Linked DNA regions of Callithrix jacchus. The protein of the gene in region 1 binds, or shares a complex with, the protein of each later gene. Links are inferred from orthologs where the notes say so. Each region holds a gene or a part of one and is shown in the gene's direction. Other genes may lie near its edges.

Region 1 (3,818 bases):
GTTTTTCCAGGAGCAAATTCAGGAGCAGCTGAAGTATCTGAAGAAGCTGAGAACGTCTGGGGAGGAGGAGCGATCCTACGGGAATGAGAAGGCAGCGAGCTTTCTGGTAAGGCCAGAGGGGGCCAGTGGCCCATCCTTCCCTGCGAGGAGGGTGGGAGGAGTGAGCAGGAGTCCCCGAGGTTCTGCTGTGGTTCACAGGGCAGCAGGGATGGCCACCTGCTCTCAGGGGGCAGAGGGGTAACCAGCAGCCACGGGTGAGCTCATCCCTGTAGAGGGAGACCACCCCCAGCAGGCAGGGGTCAACTCTGAGGATCCTGACACGCTTTCTCGTACTCACCACAAGATGGTATAAGGCAGCCTACAAGGGTGACTATCACGGAGAGGCGGGATTGAGGGAAGGGGAGGAGAACACTTTTGTCCTTGAGATGGTGCCTCGCTCTTTCGCCAGGCTGGATGCAGTGGCACGATCTCGGCTCACTGCCACCTCTGCCTCCCGGGTCTAAGCAAATCTCCTGCCTTAGCCTCTTGAGTGGCTGGATTACAGGCGCATACCACCATGCCTGGTTAATTTTTGTATTTTTAGTAGAGACAGGGTTTTGCCATGTTGGCCAGGCTGCTCTCAAACTCCTGACCTCAGATAATCTGCCCTCCTTGGCCTTGCAGAGTGCTGGGATAATAGGCATGAGCCACCATGTCCAGCCAATAACACTTTTAACTGTAAATTCTTTTGAGTGTCTCTGTGTGTGTGTGTGTGTGTCTCTGTGTGTGTGTGTGTGTGTTGTGTGTGTGTGTTGTGTGTGTGTGTTGTGTGTGTGTTGTGTGTGTGTGTTGTGTGTGGTGTGTGTGTGTGTTGTGTGTGTGTGGTGTGTGTGTGTGTGTGTTGTGTGTGTGTGTGTTGTGTGTGTGTGTGTGTGTGTGTGTGTGTTTTTCCAAGACAAAGTCTTGCTCTGTCGCTCAGGCTGGAGTACAGAGATAGAATCTAGGCTTGCTGCAACCTCCACCTTTCAGGTTCAAACAATTCTCCTGCCTCAGCCTCCTAAGCAGCTGAGATTATAGGTGCCTGCCACTGAACCTGGCTCATTTTTGTATTTTCAGTAGAGACAGCGTTTCACCGTTGGCCAGGCTGGTCTCAAACTCCTGACCTCAGGTCATCTACCTGCCTCGGCTCCCAAAGTGCTAGGATTACAGGTGTGAACCACTGGGTCCAGCTGTTTTGTTTGTTTGTTTGTTTGTTTGTTTTGTTTTCTGTTCATTTGTTTGTTTGAGATGGAGTCTCACTCTGTCATCCAGGCTGGAGTGCAGCGGTAGGATCTCGGCTCACGGCAAACCTTCGCCTCCCCAGTCCAAGTGATTCTCCTGCCTTAGTCTCCTGAGTTGCTGGGACTACAGGCATGTGCCACCATGCCCAGCTGTATTTTATCTTTTTAGTAGAGACGGAGTTCCCCATGTTGGCCAGGCTGGTCTCGAACTGCTGACTTCAAGTAATCTGCTTGCCTTGGCCTCCCAAACTGCTGGGATTACAGACATGAGGCACTGGACCCAGCCGAGATTTCCCCATTTTATAAGACGATGTTTATATAGGATTAGGGACCCACTCAACTCCAGTGGGACCACATCTTAACTAACATCTGCAAGAACTCTATCTTCAAAGAAGATCACATTCTGAGGACTGGGGGCTAGGGCTCCAACATATAAATTTCGGAGGGGACACAGATAAGCCATCACACCAGATTTAAGGCCATTTTCCCAGAGCTAGCCCAAGCCATGCTCAGTCTGTTCTGGAAGGTTGCAGCCAATATTGCCTCCTGTTCTGGAATCTAGGCCTCCAAGAGGCAGAAGAAGCCCACCTCTTAGCCACCTTCAGGAGGTGGGCTTCTAGGGGTTCCTGGACATACATGTCCACCCACAGACCCCTGCACCTCCCCATCCTCCACTCCCCAGAAACAAACTGAAATGCTGAAGCAGCGGGTACAGAGGAAGCTGGAGCAGCTGTACCACTTTCTGGAGCAGCAGGAGCATGTTTTTGTGGCCTCACTGGAGGACCTGGGCCAGATGGTTGGGCAGTTCAAGAAGGCATACGACACCCGTGTATCCCGAGACATTGCCCTGCTTGATACGCTAATTGGGGAGCTGGAGGCCAAGCAGTGCCAGTCGGAATGGGAGCTTCTGCAGGTGGGTGCGCCTGGGCCCAGCTTTCTCGGGCTCCCTGTGCCCATCAGGATGCCTAAGGCTCCCAGTTCTGCCATCAGTTCTACCGGAGCCAGTGGATGAGTCCCCTAAGGCCTGATCTTGGTGACCCACAATGCCTCTTGTGCCCAGTCCCCTTTGATGAGGTGTCACAGGAGTCCAGGGTGGCCCAGCATCCAGGGGATCCCTGCCATTGCCCAGAAGGGATTAGCAGGGTTTGAGGGCCATTCCCTTGCAGGCCTTGCTACCTGGGATGCCTGAATTAGAATTGAAGAGACGGGCTCCACTCACTGACACCCCAGGGCAGGGAGCTCCGGTATAAGTGCAGGGGGCAGCTAAACGTCCAGGAGCCCAGGAGTAGAGGCCAGGAATCCGCACAGCCTCTAGGAGCCTGGTAACGAACAGTTTCCTTCTTCTGTCTTCTAGGACTTTGGAGACATCTTGCACAGGTACAGAGCGGTCCCGTGGTGTCCCCTGGGGTGTCTTGCAGGAAACATTTGGTAGAGACAGTCCTAGGACGGACCTGGGAGGGAGACGTTCCCAACTTACGGCGAGGAGTCTGCGACTCCAGACTCCTCTCTTTTTCTGCAGCTTCCCAAAGCCTCTCTGGATCTGCACAGGGAGAAGGGGATCTGGTCAGCAGGCAGGCTGACCAGGTGTGAGGCTGCAGACTGGGAAGGGTGAATTCAGCCTATCCTGTTGAAATGGGATGGAGGCTCCCTAAGAAACCATCTGAGTGGACTGTGTTCTAAGCAACTCACCTTCTGAAAACTGCCCCGCAGGCCTGCTGGTGGCCTTGGAGAGCTTGTTTGGAGTGGAGCTGGGGTAAACCCAGCAGGAAGGGGAGGAAAGGGACAAGAAGAGGCTAGGCCTTAAAATCACTGGGAGCTTTACAAAATCCCAATGTCCTTTTGTGTCTGGCTTCTTCACTTAGCATGATGTCTTCAGGCTTCATCCATGTGTCAGAATTTCTTTCTTTCTTTTTTTTTTTTGAGGCAAGAGTCTCGCACTGTCGCCCAGGCTGGTGTGCAGTGGCTCCATCTCGGCTCACTACAACCTCCGCCTCTCGAGTTCAAGCGATTCTCCTGCCTCACCCTCCCGAGTAGCTGGGCTTATAGGTGCCCACCACCATGACCAGCAAATTTTTTGTATTTTTAGTAGAGTCGGGGTTTCTCCATTTTGGTCTTGAACTCCTGATCTCGAGTGATCCACCTGCCTTGGCCTCCTGAAGTGCTGGGATTACAGGCCTAAGCCACCTCGCCCGGCCATTTTTTTTTTTTTCCCCTGAGACAAGGTCTCACTCCCATTACCCAAGCTGGAGAGCAGGAGCACAGACACAGCTCACTGCAAACTCAACTTCCTGGGCTTAGGTGATTCTCCCACCTTAGCCTCCTGAACAGCTGGGACTACAGGCAAGTGCTACCACTCCTGGCTAATTTTTTGTATTTTTAATGGAGATAGGGTTTCCCTATGTTGCCTAGGCTGGTTTTGAACGCCTGGGCTCGAATGATCCAGCTGCCTTCGCCTCCCGAAGTGCTAGGATTACAGGCGTGAGCCCCTGCACCTGGCCTATTTTCTCCTGTTGTTGCTGTTTTCATAATGGCCATCCTAACGGATGTGAAGTGGTATTT
Region 2 (3,818 bases), on another chromosome or scaffold:
GTATGATGTAAGATAAAGTCTCAGTGTATCATTCCCCATATATTGTCATTTGCCTGAATGCTTTTTATAGTTGTCTATTCTTTCCTTGTGATTTTTAATGACACTTTGATTATATACCATGTTTTAATTTACATGTAGTTCTATTTCCACACTCAATTTGTTGACTTTTCTCTGTGCCACTACCATACTGATTTAATTATCATACATTTGTAGTAAGTATTAATATCTAGTAGTAGGGATAGTATATCCTAAAGAAATATTTAACTTATTTTGCATGTTTTTGTCTTTATTTTTTTCATTTAGGTTTTGTGAGCATCCCGATAATGTCTATAAAAATCCCTTTGAGATTCTGCATGGGAGTTTACAGATTAATTTGACAATATTGCTGTCTTCATTCTATCAATTCTTCCCATTGAAAATAGCACACATACACCCACTTGACTGGGTCTTTTAAATCTCTCGATAAAGTTTTATAAGGTTCCCTTTAAAACTCTTAAATATATTGTATTAGATGTTCTATGTGCTTTGTAGTTTTGTTGCTATTGGAAATTACTATTTTATGTAATATTTTTCTCTCTTGGAGTGGTGCTAGAATAAAGGAATGTATTTCTGCATATTAATCTTCTAGTTAGAAACATTGTTGAATCGTTGTTTATAATATTTTATTATTTTGGTTACTATACATAAACAATCATATTACTACAAGGTTATTCTGGACAAGATATAAAAATAGATCAATGGACAGAAGAAAGAATCCAGAAATAGACCCACTCATATTTGGACAACTGGTTTTTACAAAGATACAAAAAAAAAAGTCTTTAAAGAAAGAACAGTCTCTTTAACATACGCTTCTGGGAAAATTTATATTCATATGAAAAATAAATGAACTTTGAATCATCCCTCACTACATACACAAAATAACTCAAAACAGTGCACACACCCAAATGTAAAATATCAAGCCATAAAATTTTTAGAGGAGAACGTAAAATCTTCTAATCTTGACATGGAAAAGATTTCTTAAATATGACACTGAAAGCACAATCCATGAAAGAAAAAATTGGTTAATTTTACTTCATCAGGTAAATGTATATGCCGAAATTTATCAAAGTGTATACTTCCAATATATGCACTGTGTTGTATGTCAGTTATGCCTCGATAAATCTGTTTTTAAAACAACAGGAAAATGTATTGTTTTCTTTTTTGTGGTTGTTTTTGGTTTTTTTGAGACGGAGTTTCACTCTTGTTGCCCAGGCCGGAGTGCAATGGTGCAATCTTGGCTCACAACAACCTCTGCCTCTTGGGTTCAAGTGATTCTCCTGCCTCAGCCTTCAGAGTAGTTGGGATTACAGGCATCCACCACCACGACTGGCTAATTTTTATATTTTTAGTAGAGATGGGATTTTGCCATATTGGCCAGGCTGGTCTCAAACTCCTGACCTCACGTGATCCGCCCACTTCAGCCTCTCAAAGTTCTGGGATTACAGGCATAAGCTACTGTGCCCAGCTGATATCTCCTGTTTTCTAAGAATTCCAGAGGTGTTGTATACTTTCTGAAAATGTCTTTCCGGGGAATAGTGACTACCTTGCTTAAGAAGTTCTTACCTATGTTCCACTCAAACCTCTTACTACTGTAAACATTTGTTTATTTTTCTTTAAAATATAGTAACAGCTCACCTTGCTTCATTCTGAACATAGAATCACTTTTGGTGGTGTAATCTTCTATGATTTGGACTCCTTACAGGCGGATCCTGAAGTTCTTAGATGGAGAGTAAATATAAGGAGATACTCCTGCTAACGGGCCTGGAGAACATCACTGATGAAGAACTGGAGAGGTTTAAGTTCTTTCTTCCAGATGAGTTTAATATTGCCACAGGCAAACTACATACTGCAAATAGACCACAACTAGCTAACTTGATGATTCAAAATGCTGGTGTGGTGTCTGCAGTAATGAAGACCATTCATATTTTTCAGAAGTTGAATTACATGCTTTTGGCAAAACGTCTTCAGGAAGAGAAGGAGAAAGGTAAAGTGGGATCCTGCCCTGCCCAGTCCCTTTCTTCGCCAAGCCTGGGCCTTTCCTTTTACGGCGTCCCTGGGATATGGCCCCCAGTGCACGTTTGTTGGAATTTGTTTGCTAACTTAGTGCACTTGTCTCTTTGCCTCCTTTTACTGAGAATCACCTCTAGGAAGTGTTTGGTACAAATTCCACAAATCCATTCCATCTTCTGTTGGCATCTCTTGTTCCAACGCTTAGAGTTACCACTTCCATTTATCGTCTTTTCTCTTTGCCTATCTGTCTCCAGTTCAATTGCAGTGAACTTGGATGTAGGATTTCTTTTTCTTTTTTTTTTTTTTGAGACAGAGTTTCGCTCTTGTTACCCAGACTGGAGTGCAATGGCACGATCTCGGCTCACCGCAACCTCTGCCTTCTGGGTTCAGGCAATTCTCCTGCCTCAGCCTCCCGAGTAGCTGGGACTACAGGCACACACCACCATGCCCAGCTAATTTTTGTGTTTTTAGTAGAGACGGGGTTTCACCTTGTTGACCAGGATGGTCTCAATCTCTTGACCTCATGATCCACCCGCCTCGGCCTCCCAAAGTGCTGGGATTATAGGCGTGAGCCACCGCACCTGGCCTTGGATGTAGGATTTCAAAGTTAACATCCCCCAACTCCATTTACACAGTATATAATGCGCTCACATTTTACTGAAGTCATGAAAATATAAATAAATTATTGCAGTGGAAAAGCGTAAACCGGGATATTGAGCACCTTTTCTCCTTCACACAGTCTGTCTATTCCTCTCCTGTCCCCAGCTTTCTGAGGACCCAGAGTATCCTTCTTCAGGGAATAATCTCCTCCTTCTATTAGGGGATTCTCTCTCCTATCTCCAGTACAGGTGGCACTATAAATTACCCACAACACAAAGGTTTTTTACATTATTCAATAAATCACTCATCATCTCCATCTACATTTAGTTTAAATCTCGTTTAAATTTCTGATTTTGTTTGCTAAGAAAATTGATATGTCCCGGCTTTATGTCTGAAGAATAAAAGAGAGGTAACAAAGGAGCATATCATCCAAGGACTCTCCCAAATGAGAGTCTCCAAATGCCACAGTTTTAGGATTCAAAGTACAGCTGTAGGCCGGGAGCAGTGGCTCACGCCTATAATCCCAGTACTTTGGGAGGCCAAGGCGGGTGGATCACGAGGTCAAGAGGTGGAGACCATCCTGGCCAACATGGTGAAACCCCGTCTCTACTAAAAATACAAAAATTAGCTGGGCATGGTGGTAGGTGCCTGTAGTCCCAGCTACTCGGGAGGCTGAGGCAGGAGAATTGCCTGAACCCAGGAGGTGGAGGTTGTGGTGAGCCGAGATCGCACCATTGCACTCCAGCCTGGGTAACAAGAGCGAAACTCAGTCTCAAAAAAAAAAAAGTACAACTATAACAGCAAAAATTACAACAGCTTTTAACAGCATTTGTGAGTGTATAACACGGATGACATCACTTCTCAAACATGACTTATAGGAAGGCTAAATGAAGCCATGAAAGTGATACTATGTACGCTCATAATTCTATACAGATATAAACTGTTTGCTAGTATCTAAGGCACTGAAGAGAAAGGACTGCTTGTTATACATTGTATTTTCCCAGGCTATGTGAAGTTAGAAGGTGTAGTTCTTAGACATGGCCCCTAGATGGCAGTAACTACACGTTGTTTTGAAGTAACCAACTGCTCTTTTTCTTGTCTGGGATGAGACAGGAATCTAAGCATATTTATTGGCAAACATAGGCGGAGAATTTTAGAAATATCTTTTA

The links.
Region 2: MEFV (region 1) and AIM2 share a complex: the UniProt entries of both Homo sapiens proteins name them as parts of the AIM2 PANoptosome complex. The link is inferred for Callithrix jacchus from reciprocal best matches to the Homo sapiens genes MEFV and AIM2.

The regions. Positions count from the first base shown.
Region 1 is NC_133513.1:5,396,809-5,400,626, reverse strand, and holds part of MEFV (pyrin), read left to right. Parts: intron 1-10; coding exon 11-106; intron 107-1,941; coding exon 1,942-2,172; intron 2,173-2,613; coding exon 2,614-2,636; intron 2,637-3,818. UniProt on the Homo sapiens protein: Involved in the regulation of innate immunity and the inflammatory response in response to IFNG/IFN-gamma.
Region 2 is NC_133519.1:19,055,692-19,059,509, reverse strand, and holds part of AIM2 (interferon-inducible protein AIM2), read left to right. Parts: intron 1-1,741; 5' UTR 1,742-1,761; coding exon 1,762-2,023; intron 2,024-3,818. UniProt on the Homo sapiens protein: Sensor component of the AIM2 inflammasome, which mediates inflammasome activation in response to the presence of double-stranded DNA (dsDNA) in the cytosol, leading to subsequent pyroptosis.